Linked DNA regions of Ovis aries. The protein of the gene in region 2 binds, or shares a complex with, the protein of the main gene of each other region. Links are inferred from orthologs where the notes say so. Each region holds a gene or a part of one and is shown on either strand. Other genes may lie near its edges.

Evidence for each region.
Region 1: BNIP1 (region 2) and BET1L share a complex: the UniProt entries of both Homo sapiens proteins name them as parts of the SNARE complex. The link is inferred for Ovis aries from reciprocal best matches to the Homo sapiens genes BNIP1 and BET1L.

What each region holds. Positions count from the first base shown.
Region 1 is NC_056074.1:47,475,951-47,484,037, reverse strand, and holds BET1L (BET1-like protein), read right to left. Parts: upstream 4,278-8,087; 5' UTR 4,212-4,277; coding exon 4,193-4,211; intron 3,059-4,192; coding exon 2,967-3,058; intron 2,727-2,966; coding exon 2,670-2,726; intron 2,541-2,669; coding exon 2,373-2,540; 3' UTR 1,287-2,372; downstream 1-1,286. Other genes in the region: RIC8A (synembryn-A), read left to right, coding at 6,026-6,109, 6,403-6,450, 6,536-7,126, 7,608-7,699. UniProt on the Homo sapiens protein: Vesicle SNARE required for targeting and fusion of retrograde transport vesicles with the Golgi complex. Required for the integrity of the Golgi complex.
Region 2 is NC_056069.1:5,002,549-5,010,798, reverse strand, and holds the start of BNIP1 (vesicle transport protein SEC20), read right to left. Parts: upstream 4,112-8,250; 5' UTR 4,103-4,111; coding exon 4,019-4,102; intron 1,859-4,018; coding exon 1,766-1,858; intron 524-1,765; coding exon 432-523; intron 1-431. UniProt on the Homo sapiens protein: As part of a SNARE complex may be involved in endoplasmic reticulum membranes fusion and be required for the maintenance of endoplasmic reticulum organization. Also plays a role in apoptosis.

The sequences.
Region 1 (8,087 bases), on a different chromosome or scaffold from region 2:
TAAATGCCTTGTCTTTGACTTAAGGGATAGAGCCTGGCTGTCTGTCCACACGTGACCCCAAAGGTCCTCAAGTCCTTCTCTGCTTTATAGTCTCGGGCTCAACGTCAGCAAACCCCACTCACCCACAGGACTAGGCGCTCAGTGTACAGGGCTGAGAAGGGTGAAGGCCCCACAGGAAACCCTCCTGACACAGCACAGCAGAGCTCCATGCCCGCTTCAGCTGTTCATCTAACACAATGACAAACAAACACCCAGACCCCGAATAGCTGGGAAGGCTACAGAGTCACAGAGATGGAGAAGCAGGGAGGCACAGACGGCAACCTGAGGCAAACCACACAGCAGAGATGGCGAAGTCCTCCTCAGAGAAGGGACTTCACCGACAGCCCAGTCGGTAGAGACCCTGGCTGCAGTGCAGGAGAGCTGGGTTCGTTCCCTGGGATGGAAAGACTCCCTGGAGAAGGGAAAGGCTACCCACTCCAGTATTCTTGTTTGGAGAATTCCATGAACTACAGTCCATGGGGTCACAAACAGTCGGACACGACTGAACAACTTTCACTTTCCTCAGAAAAGACCACCCTGAAACACGAACTCCAAATTCCTGGTCTGCTTTGGAGCGGGGCAGTTGAGGAGGGCTGCCCTGGCTGAGCCACTTTCTCAGGAAGCAAGGTTAGCAGGCCCAGAAAAGGCAGGGGCCACGGAGTTCAGGTCTGGGGGTATCTGCTGTGCCTGCAGTGACCAGATGAAGACACTCTATGGGTAGCAGCTTTGAGCCTGGTGACCAGTGGACAAGTCCCTGTGACTAGGTTCACTGTGAGAGGGCAGAGGGCGAAGTCAAAGCCGTGGTACACAAAACGGGGGTCAAGGCACGGCCACAGGGTCCTGTGCAGGGATGTCAAGGAGGACAGAGATAAACCCAAGCCCCAGGGACACAGAGGCAAGCAGGCCAACCTTACTGTGTGAGCAGCACGCACTGGAGGAATGGTGACCGTCAGGCAGAACACTCAGGAGGCCAAGGGCCCAGCCAAGTGCAGCAGAGAGAAAAGGGCTCCATGGCAAGCGTCTGAGGAGAGGCCGGGCCTGCTGGGCAGGGAACCAGGGAGAGGAAGAGGAGCGGCAGAGTGCCAGGGCCAGAAGGCGAGGTCCGCACGGGCAGAGGAGAGGGCAAGGTGGCGAGAGGAGCGGATGCCCCACACGCGGCACGAGTGTGCGGGCAGCTGGACGGTCAGAGTGAGGAGCGTACCCAAGAAGATGGGAACAGGAACCAGGAAAGACACAGAGCCAACGACTTCTTACAAGCGTTTTTTATGGGAAGACGAGGACACCGGGGACTCACAGGGAGGTACAACGAAGCCACTGGTTTGGCTGGGCCTGTTAGTTCAGTCCATAGGAGCAGGGGACTGACCGAGTGGACACTGAGGGCCCAGGGAGAGGTGGGCAGACATTGCAGGTTAGGGTTAGCTTAGTGGAAACTGCCCACAAACCCTCAAAAAGTGCCCTACAGTTCCTAAGAAAAGTCACTATCCAGAAACCTCCCGCGTACACCGACAAAAGCCCCGCCTCACACCGGGCCTGACTCTGAAGCGTCAGACGGACATGTCTCCAGAGGTCTAGTCTCCGGGAAGCAGGCCTCTGGTGCTGGGCAGATCCTGAATCCCGTGAGAACATCGGCTTCTGCTCCTGGACACACGGCTGGGAAACTGCAGGCCTTGGGCCCCAAGTCCTCAGCCTGCGCTGCAGTCCCTTCCTCCACCCACACCCCCTGCCCATCCCCGAGGGCCTGGTTTCAGTCGCGGGACTGGAGGGCAGGAAGAGGCCACTCAGCAGGACCTTTGAATCTCTCCGGGTCATGGATGACCAGCAGCCCTGGCCAGAGAAACTGCAGTCTCCGGGCTGAGGACACTCAGTTGGAGGTGACAGCAGTGATTTGAGCTTCACAGCCACACCCCCTTCCTGTGTCAGCTCCAGGCAGCTCAAACATCAGACACAGCCTCATCCAGACCAAGACAGCGCAGAGAAGCCTTGAGATGCTCAGAACCTCAAGGGCCGATGAAAGGACTGCTGCTCACAGGCGGCCGTGTCCAGGATTCCCAGATGCTCTGCTTGGACCCAACACTGCTGGGGCTTCTAGAGCTCAAGGTGGCAGAGGGAGCTGGGCCTAGGCTACCCCACAGGGATAGGGCCCTTGCACACATAGAACCAGCTAACAAGAGCTCACTGGGTTAGAGGCTCCCAACCACGCAGAAAAAACATTCCTAAGCCATGATCCTCATTTCAAAGGAGTATTTTGAAAACAAGTTCTCTGGAGCCCAAAACACCAGACAGAGGAAAATCCTGGTTGCCCCAGGCACCCACAGAAGCCAGTTCCCATTGGCTCACGTCCTTGCCCTCGACAGGAGGTAGGAGAGGATGAAGAAGGCCACAATCAGGCCCACAGCCATACCACAAAGAAGCTTCCGGTTGTCTCGCCCAGATCGCGCCATTGTGGAAAACCGCTTCACACTCCCTGTGAGTAGACCCGTCATACTTGTGAAATCTGAGTCCTGAGGGAGAAATTCCAACATTGTCACAAAGGGACAGTGACTCTGCAACACACACACACAGATGGGGGCTGCAAAGCAGGTGGTGGGGAGCTGAGCTGACCGTGACGCTTGCAAACCGCAGGCCCTTACCATGCCGTCCAGGTACCGGTTCTGGTCCTCCGCATCCCTATCGATGTCCAGAGCCAGCTGGTCAGGACACAGAGGGGGCAGGGTCAGACCGGGACAAACACAGTGAACAGCACCTGACCCCCAACAAGATCAACAGAGATCAGAAGATCCAAATGCCACCTGGGCCTCGCACAGATGAGTATGCCACAGGTGGGACAAGGAGAACGGAACTACCTGAAACCCATCCAGGTCTTTACTGCCCGCTGACCACCCCCTCCAGATGCCAGGTGGAGGCAAAAGGAGAGGACCACCACTGACCGATTTGAGCCTGGTGACCTTGGAGGCCAAGCTGTCAGCCATCCGCTTGTTTTCTCGGTCTAGAATCTCCTCCACAGCACCAGGGCTCTGAGCTGTGAGGAGAGAGAGAGGCTGAAAGCATGACTCCGCTCATGAACCGTGACCCCTATAATCTCGGCCCTTTGTGGCCTCCGGCCTCCAATCCCATCTGGCCCAGTCAGGCATCTAAGGGGACCCGGCCTCTGTGTGTCTGCTGAGCAGGCCCCACCCTCACCCAGGATCCAACTTCACACATGAGGAGGACTGTATAAACAACAGTGTGAGCACAGGTCCTGTGCATGTATCCAGGCTGGGATGGGTGGGCGGGCACCTCCAAAGGGCTCAGTTCAACCAGTACTTTCAGACATTCTGTGACGGAACTTGTACCATCCCTCCGCAGGTGTCACTAGCAAGGTACACAGAACCTGTTCTCAAAATAAACCCCAATGAGCTCTGGTAAGACTTACAGGGCTTGAGACTGATCCCACACAGGGTCTTGTGTGTCACCCAGAGCCTGGTACCCGCTGAGAACTGGCCCGAGACAGGCGCTGGGCCTGGTGATTCAGAATTACCACCCTACCAGGCTGGTGAGAACTGTTTCCCACAAAGTTCAGAGTGCGCATTTGCCTCGAGCCCGATGCCTCAAGGAGACTCATCAAAAGCGGGCACAGTCTAGGAACCATGGCTTCTTACAAACCCCAAAATAAGAGGTGTAAAGGTCCTACCGACCGACTGTACCCTTAACTCCTTAAAAGTCACAACAGCCCAGCGAAACAAGCATCAGCATCCCACTTCGCAGGTGAAGAGAGACTCCCAGAAGGCAAGTGGGGTACTAGGCATGCTTGGGCCCTCCTATCACGCGCAGCTCTCACTCCGAGGGGGTCTAGCCTCAGGGACCCGTCAACCAGGAGACCCGGCCGAGGTCCCGTGCAGAGTCATCTCCCAGGGACGAAACGGGTGGGGACTGCGGGCATCCGGACCCCGCAGTTTCACGCAGCAGCTGGGCAGGAGCGCCCAAAGGGACCCAGCGACTCATCCACAGCGCGGCGGGCTGCACCCTGGCCGCCCTGCCCAAACTACGCCCGCCCGCAGTGTCTTGCCAACAACGCCACCTAGTGCCGCGGAGAAAGGCGAAGGCGGTTCCTAAGAGCAGCGGAGTCGGCCCCGGCGAGCCCCGTAGCCATCCGCCTCCGCCCTTCCGCGCTCACCCCGAGCCCAGTCCGCCATCGCGTCCAGCTCCGACCCCAGGGTCCGTCACCGCTTGATTACAGCCTCCTCGGACGTGGCGCAGTCGCCGGAAGGGGCTTCCGGCCCCACCCCTTCCGCCTCAGGCCCCCCACTTCCGGCCGAGATCTGGCCGACAGACTCGGCGGTGGGAACGGGAAGAATCTGACGTTTCTTCCGTCGTTTGACTTGGGGATGGGGCTGGCGTTTGCTCTCGGGACTCCTGGATGATTTGTGGTTTTAGAGGCAACTATGGTGCCCACAGACACTCCAGCAGCCATTCCCGCCTAAGGCGGTGTCGGGGTCCTAACTGGGAAGAGCACACGGGCCTTTCCCGGGCCAAAGAGGCTCCTCGCCGCGACCCCGCCGGGGTTGAGGCCCGGAGCGAACTCGATGGGAAGCCCGGTTCCAGTTACTGCCGGCAGGACAAACGAGATCAGTGCCTGGAACGAGCGAGCGGTGCAGAAGTCGCAGGAGTGAAGCCCTCTGAAGAAAACAAGGAACCAGGAAGAGGGGTGGGAGCGTGAGGGGAGTGGGTACGGGAGGAGCCAGCGCTTTTTGACCTTGCACGCGGTGCTGACAAGGGGCCTGACAAAGTAGATGCTTAACAAAGCCTTCTTGCCCGGTGGATGGGTTATAAGTTACCCACCCCCCGTAATGGAGCAATTGCTGTGCCATGTACTCGACAATCCACTGAAATGGAAACTTGTATCGTCTCTGCTTTTCAAAAAAGGAAACAGCCCAAGCAGACGAGCAGGTGTGCCTGCTTACACAGCAGGGAAGTCACCGCACACAGTCAGACTTTGTCTTCCTCCTGACCTTCCCCCCACCCCGACCCCGTCTCTCTTTTCTCTCAGCTCCAACAGTGATGTTTCTCTCTCCCTCCACGGCCATTCCCACCCTCGCACTGGCCACTCCTGCCTTGCAGAACCTTCCTTCGGAGCCTTTCCTGGCTCACTCCCTAGGCTCCGGTCTCAGCAAAAACTGACTGGCACTTCTTCAGATCTCCTTGCAGCCCATCAAGCCCCTTTTGTTATTCAATCACAGCACTATAGCTGCCTAACGTCGTCTTGTTTGCCCGTTTTAGTCTTCACATCCGGCACATAAGCGCCAAGAAGGCAGGAACCTGTGGGTTCTATTCACCCGCATCCCGGCTCCTCGCGTGCAGTAGGCACTCAAACATCTGTTTAGAAACCAAGTGGTCCGGAGGTTGTAAACTCCTTTCCACCTCGACTTTTCCCTGGACGTTTCATTCGTTCTGTGCATCAAGAGCGGTGTTGGTGTGCGTGTGATGGAGGGGTGCGGGGCTGAGGCCCTCTCCTGTCAGGAATCCTAGCCCAAGGAGTGAGGCTCACTGCTCGGTTCAGGGCGATTCTGGCCCATAAGTCGGACGATCACCGAGCCGGAGTTTAAGGCCAAAGCTGACTCGGCAGCAAAGTCTTCAAGTTCTATCCAGCTGTTCCAGGCCTCGCCCCTTTAAGGCGCCACACAGACCAGAGAGCTCTGCGCCCGCCGGGTCCCGGCCTCCCCTGCGCGCAACCCAGGCCCCGCCCCACGGCGCCGCGCACGCCCCGTCCCGGCCTCCCACGCGCGCAGCCCAGGCCCCGCCCCTTTAAGGCTCCACGCAACCCAGAGAGCTCGGCGCCCGCCCGGTCCCGGCCTCCCCTGCGCGCAACCCAGGCCCCGCCCCACGGCGCCGCGCACGCCCCGTCCCGGCCTCCCCCGCGCGCCGAGCCTGGGCGGGGCGGGCAGACGCTTGCCCGGAATCGCGAAGCCGGGAGCCTCCGGCCTTCCTGGCATCGGGTCCTGGAGGTGCCATGGAGCCCCGTGCAGTTGCGGATGCCTTGGAGACGGGGGAGGAGGACGTGGTTATGGAAGCTTTGCGCGCGTACAACCGGGAGGTGAGCGGGAGTTGTAGACTTGGGACGTGCAGAGAGGAGGTGGGGCCGGGTGGGGCCCGCGCGCGTGGCCGGCTGGAGGGGCGGCGAGAGCGGTGAGCGTGGCAAGGGGCTGAGGGTGGAAGGGAGAGCGATGGGGAGGAGCACCGACTCTCTGAGGAGTTGCGAGGGTGCCGGTGTGTGGGGCTGGGGCGCCATTTGTTCATAGAGGTGCCTTCGGCCTCAGGCCCCCATCCGCGGAACCCGGGTTCTGACGCGGTAGGCCTGTGCCTTCTAGCCTCTGGGTTTCTTTGCAGAACTCCCAGAGTTTCACGTTTGATGATGCGCAACAGGAGGATAGGAAGGTGGGTGCTCACCGGAGGTGGAGGGGCGTGATTGGGTGGCCCAGGTAGAAGGGCCTGGTGGAACGGCTCTTCTCCCTGCCCGCAGAGACTGGCGAAGCTGCTTGTCTCGGTCCTGGAGCAGGGCCTGCCACCCTCCCGCCGCGTTATCTGGCTGCAGAGCATCCGCATCTTGTCCAGGGACCGCAGCTGCCTGGACTCCTTCACCAGTCGCCGGAGCCTGCAGGCTCTTGCCTGCTATGCTGGCATCTCCGCCTCCCAAGGGTCGGTCCCTGAGCCGCTGAACGTGGATGTCGTACTCGAGTCCCTTAAGTGCCTGTGCAACCTCGTGCTAAGCAGCCCCGGGGCACAGGTCCTGGCAGCAGAGGCGGGGCTAGTGGTGAGGCTCGCAGAGCGCGTCGGACTGCACAGCCGGAGTAGCTTCCCGCACGACGTCCAGTTCTTTGACTTGCGTCTTCTGTTCTTGCTAACTGCACTCCGCACCGACGTGCGCCAGCAGCTGTTTCAGGAGCTGCAGGGAGTGCGCCTGCTGACCAGGGCGCTGGAGCTGACGTTGGGAATGACTGAGGGCGAGAGGCACCCTGAGCTCCTGCCTCCCCAGGAGACTGAGCGAGCCATGGAGATCCTCAAAGTGCTTTTCAACATCACCTTCGACTCCATCAAGAGGGAGGTGGATGAGGTGAGGGCGGACCTCAACCTGTGGGTGGGGTTTAACAGCTTGGACATTTCCTGCACATGCTGCTTTGCTGGGTTCCTTCAAATTTCTGGATTAGGTGTGCTTAGCCAGTCGAGAGAAGCAGGGAACACCTATCTTGGACCGGTCTCAAGGAAGTTTTCTGAGGGAGTTGGAGAGCATAACTGGCTCTTGCAGCCTGGCTGGAGGGCTGTGTGGTGTGCAGGGGAGGCTGTGAGATTCTTCGTGGTGAGACTGAGTGGGGCTGAAGCACAGAGCAGCTGTGTGCCAAGGGGATCCATTGATTTTCTTAACCGAGAGTTCTCTTGAGGTCTCCTGGGAGAGGACAAGCACCAGGGTGTGCAGTAGAGAAGCATAGTTGTTAATGCATGAGGTCTTGCAGGGGTGTCCAGAAGGTAGACTCTCAGTTGGCAGCAGTGGGGCCAGTGGGGCGCGCTCTCACAGGAACTCCTGTCTGTCTGGTCAGGAAGACACTGCTCTATACCGGCACTTGGGGACCCTTCTGCGGCACTGTGTGATGGTTGCTGCTGCTGGAGACCGCACAGAGGAGTTCCACGGGTGAGGGGGGTGCCTGTCATGCGGGGGGGTGGGGAGGAATGGGGGTGGTTTGCTCACAGGTCGCTGTGGTGGTTCCCAGCCTTAGAGTCTTCATCCTTCTGGGTGGAACCAGACAAAAGTGTGTTTCTGGGGCGCTCCAGCACTTATGGTCTAGGATCGGAGGTGTGAGTCCAAGGCAGGACGGTGCCAGGGGGCCTTGGGTAGGGGCAGCGGGCGCTGTGGTATCGATAGGGTGGTGTGCTTCCTCACTTTCCTTCTTGGTGGCCTATGCCTAGGCCGGTTCTCAGTTTTAGCTGTGGTGCCTCAACCTAGATACGTGGTGGGTTGGGCATTTACAGGAAGTAGCACTCTTGCCTCTGGTACCTTGTTCTGCTGCTTGGGCCCCCAG
Region 2 (8,250 bases):
GTTCATCTTTGTTTCACCAGTACCCAGGACAACAGTTATTGACCCATTAGCTGCTCCATCAATATAGGCAGTAAGAAGTAGAAAAATCAGTATAAGACAGTTTTATTCAATATTTCTTCAAGGTTTGCTGTTCTTTACACCAGTGGTCCCCAATCATTTTGGCACCTTTGGTGGACTTTTTCTGCTATCAATTCTCTTTAGATTAAAAAGGACCCTATATTACAAAAGCAACGAATTTTTTGCTTTTAAAAAAATATAAAATACAGCATAATGTTAAATATGCTTTTGTACACTATACACAGTCCCAGCTACCAAAGAGCCCCGGCTTACCCCCTAGCTTCAGCAGGTTTATTAGGCAAACTCAGGCACAAGCCTCACCGGGAGCAGGGGGCCCAGCGGAGGCCACTGGCCGGAGGCCAGGCCCCACCCACCTGAGCATCTGCTTTTTGTGATTCTCCACTTCTTGGAGCAGAACTTGCTTCTCTGACTCTTTGTCTTGCTCTTTAGCCGACTGCTCAAGCTCCTTTGGGAGGAAATCAGCTCTAAGTTAAAATGATTTTGAAAGGTAATGAAAAACTGGAAAGCACTTCTATTTCTACCAGTTATGCAACAGCACTTGAAAACCCTCCTAGAACAGAAGACTCAGGAATGCTGGTTCATACACAACAAACATCCTTTTACATAGAAAGCTGTCTAAAAAGAAAGAAAGGACCATCCTCAAGAACTCAAAATGAGAAAGAAACTATGAGTCAGAGCAGCCTTCCTGTGAGGGGTGTGAGGCTGCCCTGGAGCAGGGGATGCGTTCCTGCGTTCCTGCGGTCCAGGACGTGCCTGAAAGGAAAAGGGAAAAAACTACAGTAACATAGGAGCCTACTGATCCCACTCTGAGATATGATGGAAATAACACACTGCTATTTGTTTCTACAGGCTCTCAGTCTTGGTACATATTTCAGACTGAATGGCAAACACGGCTTTCAAGTCCATGTGGGGACAGAAAACAAAGCTTTGGCCACCTGAAGCTGGGAACTGGAACTGAGACCACTGCAAAGCCAGGAGCACAAAGGGATACAAATACCCTCAGTGAAAAGGTGAGCTAGGAAAACGTCTGTCAACCAGCACAGAGAAGTTGTGGAGTTTTCTGTTGTGAGACGTGGCTAGAGGGATATAAATGTCTCTCCCGATTATAACCATGGCACTCCCCTCACATGGATCGAGGGTCCAAGTTCATCCTTCCTGAGTGGTTCAAGAACCTCCACAAGGAGAAACAAACATAAAAAGTGCTCCCAGACCTGTGGTAATCCCAGGAGACCTGGCAAAAGCAAATGCAAAAACCTCTGAAGAGACATTCAACCCAGGTCGCACGAAAGCCCCACAGGTAAGGCCTTCTGAAAAGAAAGACTCAGAGCCCCAAATAATCAAACCCCAGGACACAGCCACCCACCTCAGTGAGGGGCAGCAGCCCTCACTTTCTTTTCCTCTAGAACTCTCTCTGCTTCTCTGTGACAGAACTTCCATTTCCCCCACCTTGCCTCCCTCCCTCCCTTCTTCCCACACACCCATTCTTCCACTCAACGATGGTGCTCAATCTGTACCATCATGAGGGATACGCAGCGATCACCAGGAACAGGCCTGCTGTCATTGAGTTTACGCTCCATTAAAGAATCTAGATTTTAAACAAATCATTAACTTAACACAATGCAAAACCTCTCCAATGCACTTTCTTTTCTTTCCCCAGGCGCAGCGTCCCAGCTGCGCACTCACTCACCTGTATTCTGTGCCGCAGTTGCTGAAACTTCTCTTTCACTTTAGTGTTCAGTTCGGTAAGTGCACTTAATGGTCCTGAACAATCTCGAATATCCTAGGAGACATTGAAGAGATGAACGGGCCTTTCTCAAGGCAATGAGAGGAAATGACACCAGCTGTACAATGAGAGAGCTGGCTTAGACCACAACTAAGTTGGACCTACTGGCTGTAATTCATCCTAATCTCTGCTGTTTACCTCTGTAACACAAGCAGAAGCATTATAATTTACTTTTTTTTCATCCCTCTTTGGAGTCAAGTCTGAGCGAGCAACATAGAAGCATAAGCAGAAAGACAACAGTGCGACTTCCCTGGTGGTACAGTGGATAGGAAATCCGATGCTGCGGAGCAACTAAGCCCGCACACCACAGCTGCGGAGCCTGCCTCTGCAACTACCGAAGCCCTGCGGGGCCTAGAGCCTGTGCTCCGGAACAAGAGAAGCTGCAGCAATGAGAAGCGCATGCGCTGCAACAAAGAGTAGCCCCTGCTTGTGCGGTCAGCGAAAGCCCATGCGCAGCAGCGAAGACTCAGTGCAACCAAAAATTAATTAATAAACACGTTTTTAAAACCAGAAACGGACTAAGGAACTAATAAGTCTTGATGTTTAACAGAACAGCATCCAGCCATTATGAAAGACTTAAAGCAGCTTGCATATCCGACAAGAACGAACACCTGAGAGGGCACCATAACTTCAGGTCTTTCCAACCTAAAAATGAGGATGCTAAATTCTCGGCATATGACAAGACGAACCTCTTTAACTGCTTGAACTGATTTTACACACCATCTATTAATATGATAAATCACACAGTTTACAGACATGTTCAAATGTAGATTTCGAATTTGTTTCTGGACATTCAGAATTACCAGGGCCAGGTAAAAAGTAGGCCCTAGAGTCAGACCATGTGGATTCAAATTCTAGTTGCAGCAATTTATCAGATGTATAATCCTGAAAAAGTTACTGAAGCTTCTGTGTCTGTTTACCCATCATTACCCACTTCATAACCAGGTACCCACATAAAGGGCTTAGCAGGAGTTGCCACACTGTAAGGATGTGCTAAATCTAGCTATAATCAATTGTTCTCTTCAGGAGAAAGTGAATCTTGGAGAGTGCAAAATGGGGCTGAGGAAATTTAGATCACCTGAAAAGCCAGTTTCCTTTTTATGAATCCTAAATTAATTCTTCTAGAATTGGCCCAGATGTTTTGTAGTTAATACATGGGAAAGGTGAAGTTCAAAAAGTTTAAATGTTTGTATCAAGTTGTTCTTGTTCTCTGGATTACTCATTAAATCACAGTTCCATGCAACATTTAACGGCTATTAATTTGGTTTATTTTGCACCTGATTTCCGTAGGGAGCTTACTTTCCTTCACCTTTTACCACAGCTAGATGAAGACTCTTACTTAGCATCTAAGGTTGAGTAACACTGCTGGAAATGGAAACCATTTGCCCAAAAGAAAGGTTTAAAACTCTTGGTTTCTTTTTGATAAACTAAAGGAACTATTTCTACATTCCCAACTCTTGCCTATGCCAACTGGTTTACTGAACTATTACCTTCTACCCTTAATTGGCTTAGGCAAAGGATCTCAATCGCCCCATCAGTTAAACGAAGTAGACGCCAAGAATTTTTTCTAGGATGACTTTCATTGTCCGCGTCCCAGTTTTGCCATTATCTACTTTCTGCTCAGGCAGACTCCTTCCTCATTTACAAAATCACAACTACGGTCTAGGTCACGTTCATTTCACCCAGTACCTCCTGTGCCAGGTGGCCTTTGGTGCCACGGGGCATCAGACCAGCAGGGGGCGAGGCTGATGGCCCACAGGACGCTACTGAAGCATGAGGAGGACGGGATCAGAAGGCGGGGCCAGGCAGGATGACAGGTATGTTTTGAGGCTGGCTGGGGGGTGGCGAGGTGACGGCCAGGGGTGTGTAGGGGAGCGGCCACATAGGGGAAGCCCAGTTAGGAGTGGAGGTAGAGGACGGGGTGTCCTGGAAGAGGGCGAGCTAACGGCAGTCGGACGGAATACCAAAGCCAACGATCCAGGGGAGGGGCCATGGGGCGAGACAGTTGAGGGGTAGCGGGCAGGGAGCTGGGCCAGTGGCCTCGGAGACATGACCAAGGGCGGAAAGCTCGGGAGTAAGGCCGCTGAGCTCACAGAAGGCCAGCTGAGCTGGGATTTAGGGCTTCTGGACCCTGGCGGGGACCCCGGGCATTAGTACCTGGATAAGCGCCTTCACCTCCAGATCGAATTTGACAATCTCTTGGTTACAGATACGGACGTGGACATCTTGGGCAGCAGCCATGTTGGAAATGCCGGCTACGGGAAGCCGCGGAGCCCAAGTTCCAACGCGTTTTCGCACCGGTTTCCTTTTTAGCCTCCGGGTCTTACGGCAGCGCCCCCTAGAGACCAGGCCTGAGGCGAGCGAGGGTGGTGGCGCCAAGTCCTATGGCCTTTGCCTGACACGTGGGAAAAATCAGTCGGCCTCTTGTGGTGGACCTAGAAGACGTAGAGAAAGAAAGGAGGGAATTGTCAGGACGCTTTAACAGGGGCGTCTCCCCATATTCTGCCCATCAGCCATTCTAATGACTGCATATTTTTTGCACAGAGAGGGGAAAAAGATTGGAAAAAAATATCCATTGGGATGTCTCTGGAAGGTGGAGTTAAACAATTTTTTATACTCCTTTACACTTTCTTGTATTTTTCATATTTTCTACAGTGAAAATAAGTTGTAGGGTGAAAGAAGAAAATGACAAATGTTATCATTATTTTTTTTAATGTATGAAATTCAAGGTAGTTTGCTAGGGTTAACAACTCCTGTCAGTTCAGCCCACGGTTGGAGGGATCTTTCTAAAATGCCCAACTGATCAAGTCACATTCCAACTTACACCCCTTCTCTGACTCCTGGCGTTTCCCTTTTGTGTGCAATTGGTTTTAATAAATATACTTTGCTGGAGTAGTTTTGACGGATTAATGTAGTTTTTAATGGAAACAAAAGTGAGTCACTTAGTCCTGTGACTCCATGGACTGACTGTAACCTGGCAGGGATGTAACCCTCCTCTGCCCATGGGATTTTCCAGGCAAGAATACTGGAGTGGTAGCCATTTCCTTTTCCAGGCAGATCTTCCCGACCCAGGGATTGAACCTGGGTCTCCCACATTGCAGATTCTTTACCGTCTTTAGAGCCACCAGGGAAGCCTTAAATTACTTAATGGAAATACTTAAGAGCACACCCTCAACAGATGGAGACTCTTTCATTGTATTATTATTATTAACTAGTCCAAGTTTCTTAGCTGGATCTCAAGGGCATCAATCACCCCACCAGCCCTGTCTCCTTCCTGGATTCTTCAAGCTCTTTTTGGAAGTCTAGTCCTGGAGAGAACACCCTCCCTTGAAGCGTTCATCACACCACTGCATCTAATAGACTGGCTGGGCAACGCATCTTGGGCATCTGCCCTGGCTTGAATCCTGCTTGACCACCCACTTCATCTCTCTGTGCCTCAGTCTCCTCAGAGGCTCACTGCCGGCAATCCTAGCATTGACTGGAGGGCTAAATGAGGCAATACAAAAAAGCACCAAGCACACTGTAGTAGCATGGAGCATGGGGAGAAGGCAACGCACACGACTGCCCTTACTGTGGCACTGGCATTTCTGAAGCACTTCCCTTGTGCCAGCCACTAAGTGCTGTATGTGCATCATTCTAATGTAACTCTCACAGCAATCCTGTGAGGTAGAACCATCCACTTCTTACAGATAAGGAGACAGGCAGAGAGAGACTAATGACTTGCCCAGCCCAAATGGAATTGCTAGGTCAAAGGACAGATGCATTTTAAAATTTGGATACATGCTACCGAATTGCTTTTCAGAGAGGTATCAATGTACACTCCCACAAGCAATGCGGTACTAATGCCTGCTTCCTCACAGCCTTGTACACAGTGTCTTTACAAGCACTAAGATTTTTGCCAATCTATTTAAGTGAAAAGTGCCATCTTTTAATTTTCATTTCTCTTATCATGAACTGAAAACTGTTTTTCTTTTACTATCTGTTCATTTTTCTATTAGGTTGTTGGTATTTTTGGATCAGCTCCCAGAGCTATTTACATACTAGGAGGATTTGCCCTGAGAGATGAGCTTTATCTTAGTCAGTAGAATTTTGACTTGGCTTACGGTATTTGGGGCCTTAAAGGAGTTTTATTTGAATTTTTTTGCATTTAGAATCTTTAACCACTTTGAAGTTATGTGTTGGCTTATGGTGTGAAATATAGAGCCAAGTTTACCTCCTCCAGAGGAGTACCCAGTTGTTCCATCACTATTTTCTGAACAATCCATCTTTTTCTCACTGGTTTCAGATGCTGTATTTACCATATAAATTCTTACATCTACACTTTCCATTATATTCTCTTGACCTACTACTCATTCATGCACCATAATGACAGCTTTATTATTACAGTTTAATGTGCTTTAACATTAGGATCAGGCACCCCATTTTTTTCTCCATGTGAACTTAACTGTAATTGTATTGGTATGTCTCACTGGGATGGCACTAAATCGTTACTTTAACTTTGGAAGACTGACGCCATTGACTGCTCCTGTTTAACAACTTGGTCTATCTTCCCGTTTGTTCCAGTCTTCTTCTGGGTCATTCGTAGTATTTTAATGTTTTCCATAGAGCTTGAACATTTTCTGTTAGGTTCATTCTTGGCAACATCTTAAGATTAAAACCCTTAAAAGAAACTGAGGTTGATGTTCTTCAAGTCACTCAAACGTTCTGGATTCTCAAGTAGAAGTTCCCTATTCAAGACAGTGAAGAAAGCCGAAGTCTGCACGTAGTAGATGGGCCCACGTGATCTTGGACCCCTTTCCCATCATGCTTCTTGCTGGAAATTCCTCTTCAGCCAACGGTGGCCAACTGCATCTCCAAGGGGCAGTCACAGAAGGAAACAACATAGCTCTTTTCTCCCTGCTCCAGCACACTCCCTTCTAATAAAAAAGACTCAGTTCTAAGCACTTTAGCTAGAGACCATCTTTGAAGGATAGGTAGAGTTTGGTGACCTGCACTCCCATCACCGACTACTGTCAATGCTCTTTTGCTCTCATCATCTGTACCTTCTAATCCTGACTAGCTTTTGGCTACTACATCTACTAGGTTTTGGCTTTAATTCTTTCTGGTTTTCAAATCCTAAGCGCACTGTCTCCCTCCTGCATAGAAAACCACCCAAATACGGCCTATGACTTGCCTGGCCGCTTACAGGAGAGTATGCACGGCCTCTTGAGTGCTGCGCGCAGACTGCCATCTGAATTGAGAGTTCTGTACCAGGTAAGTTGGGTCTGGGGTGACTCCACACAAGTCTAGGTCTAGTCTGACTCTTCTGTAAAATGGACATGATTATCTACCTGACTGGGTCACAGAATGCAGCAGCTGACTTCCCTGATGTAAAAGCACCTAGCAGGGGCTTAACAAATGCCACCCTAGCCTTCCAGGGCTTTCTAATGCTTTCTTCCTATTCTGAACCTTTCAGTTTGGACATGAAAGTAATTCTGAACTAATGTTTTTCTCTCTGGCTAAGGTGTTCTCCTGGTTCTGAAATCAGTGTCGGCAAGGAGGGACAACTGAACCACCCATCTCACTGCATGCTACCCACAGAAGGTTCAGTTTCCTAAGAGCTCTACCTGAAGGGCTCACCTCACCCAGCTCCTTCAAATTCCCAGACCTCGACAGAGGCTCCTGTGACGTTAAGTCCTCAAGCAGAACCAGTCCATGAGAGGCTATGTCCACTCTGCTTCCTGACTGCCTATCACTCAAATGAAACGAAAAGGGCTTCTTCAAGGGACCAGGGATATCATGAACACAGCCTGTCAATTCTCTTAGCCCCCACTGGATGTGGTACCAGTGTCCTTGAGGTAATGTCCTCTGTAGTGATGTGCCTAGAACGCTTTGTGTGTGTAAAGCTCTTGTGTTCTGTGGTTCTGTTCAGACCATGTGGCCTCCCTCAGCAAACTGAATATATTCCTGGAGGTCTCTTTAACTTCCTCCCAGCCAGTACCTAGCGCACAAGTCTTTACAGAGTAACTGCTAAACGAATGTCTGTTGGCCGAAGGAACATTGCTGCAGTGAAGTTCACTCAGGTCCACTGATTTAATGGTTCTATGTACACGCCCAGCCAAGCTTGGAGATTTACTGAGAATTATGAAACACACATACAAAGCTTAAGTCAGGAAAGACTCAAAATACTTTATTTCCCTCAGAGAACTCACCTGGCCAAAGAATCAAGGGGAAGAGATAAGGATAAACCATGTTCTGAACTACCAAGAGTGTGTTTCTGTCAATAAATAATACTATGTAGGAGCAAATTTTAACTAGCATGTTGAAAAATCAGCTCTAAGTGTTAAAAAATGTTAGCTCTTTGTACACTACACCAAGAGAGGGGCAGTGCTATCAAGAGTTCACTGCTG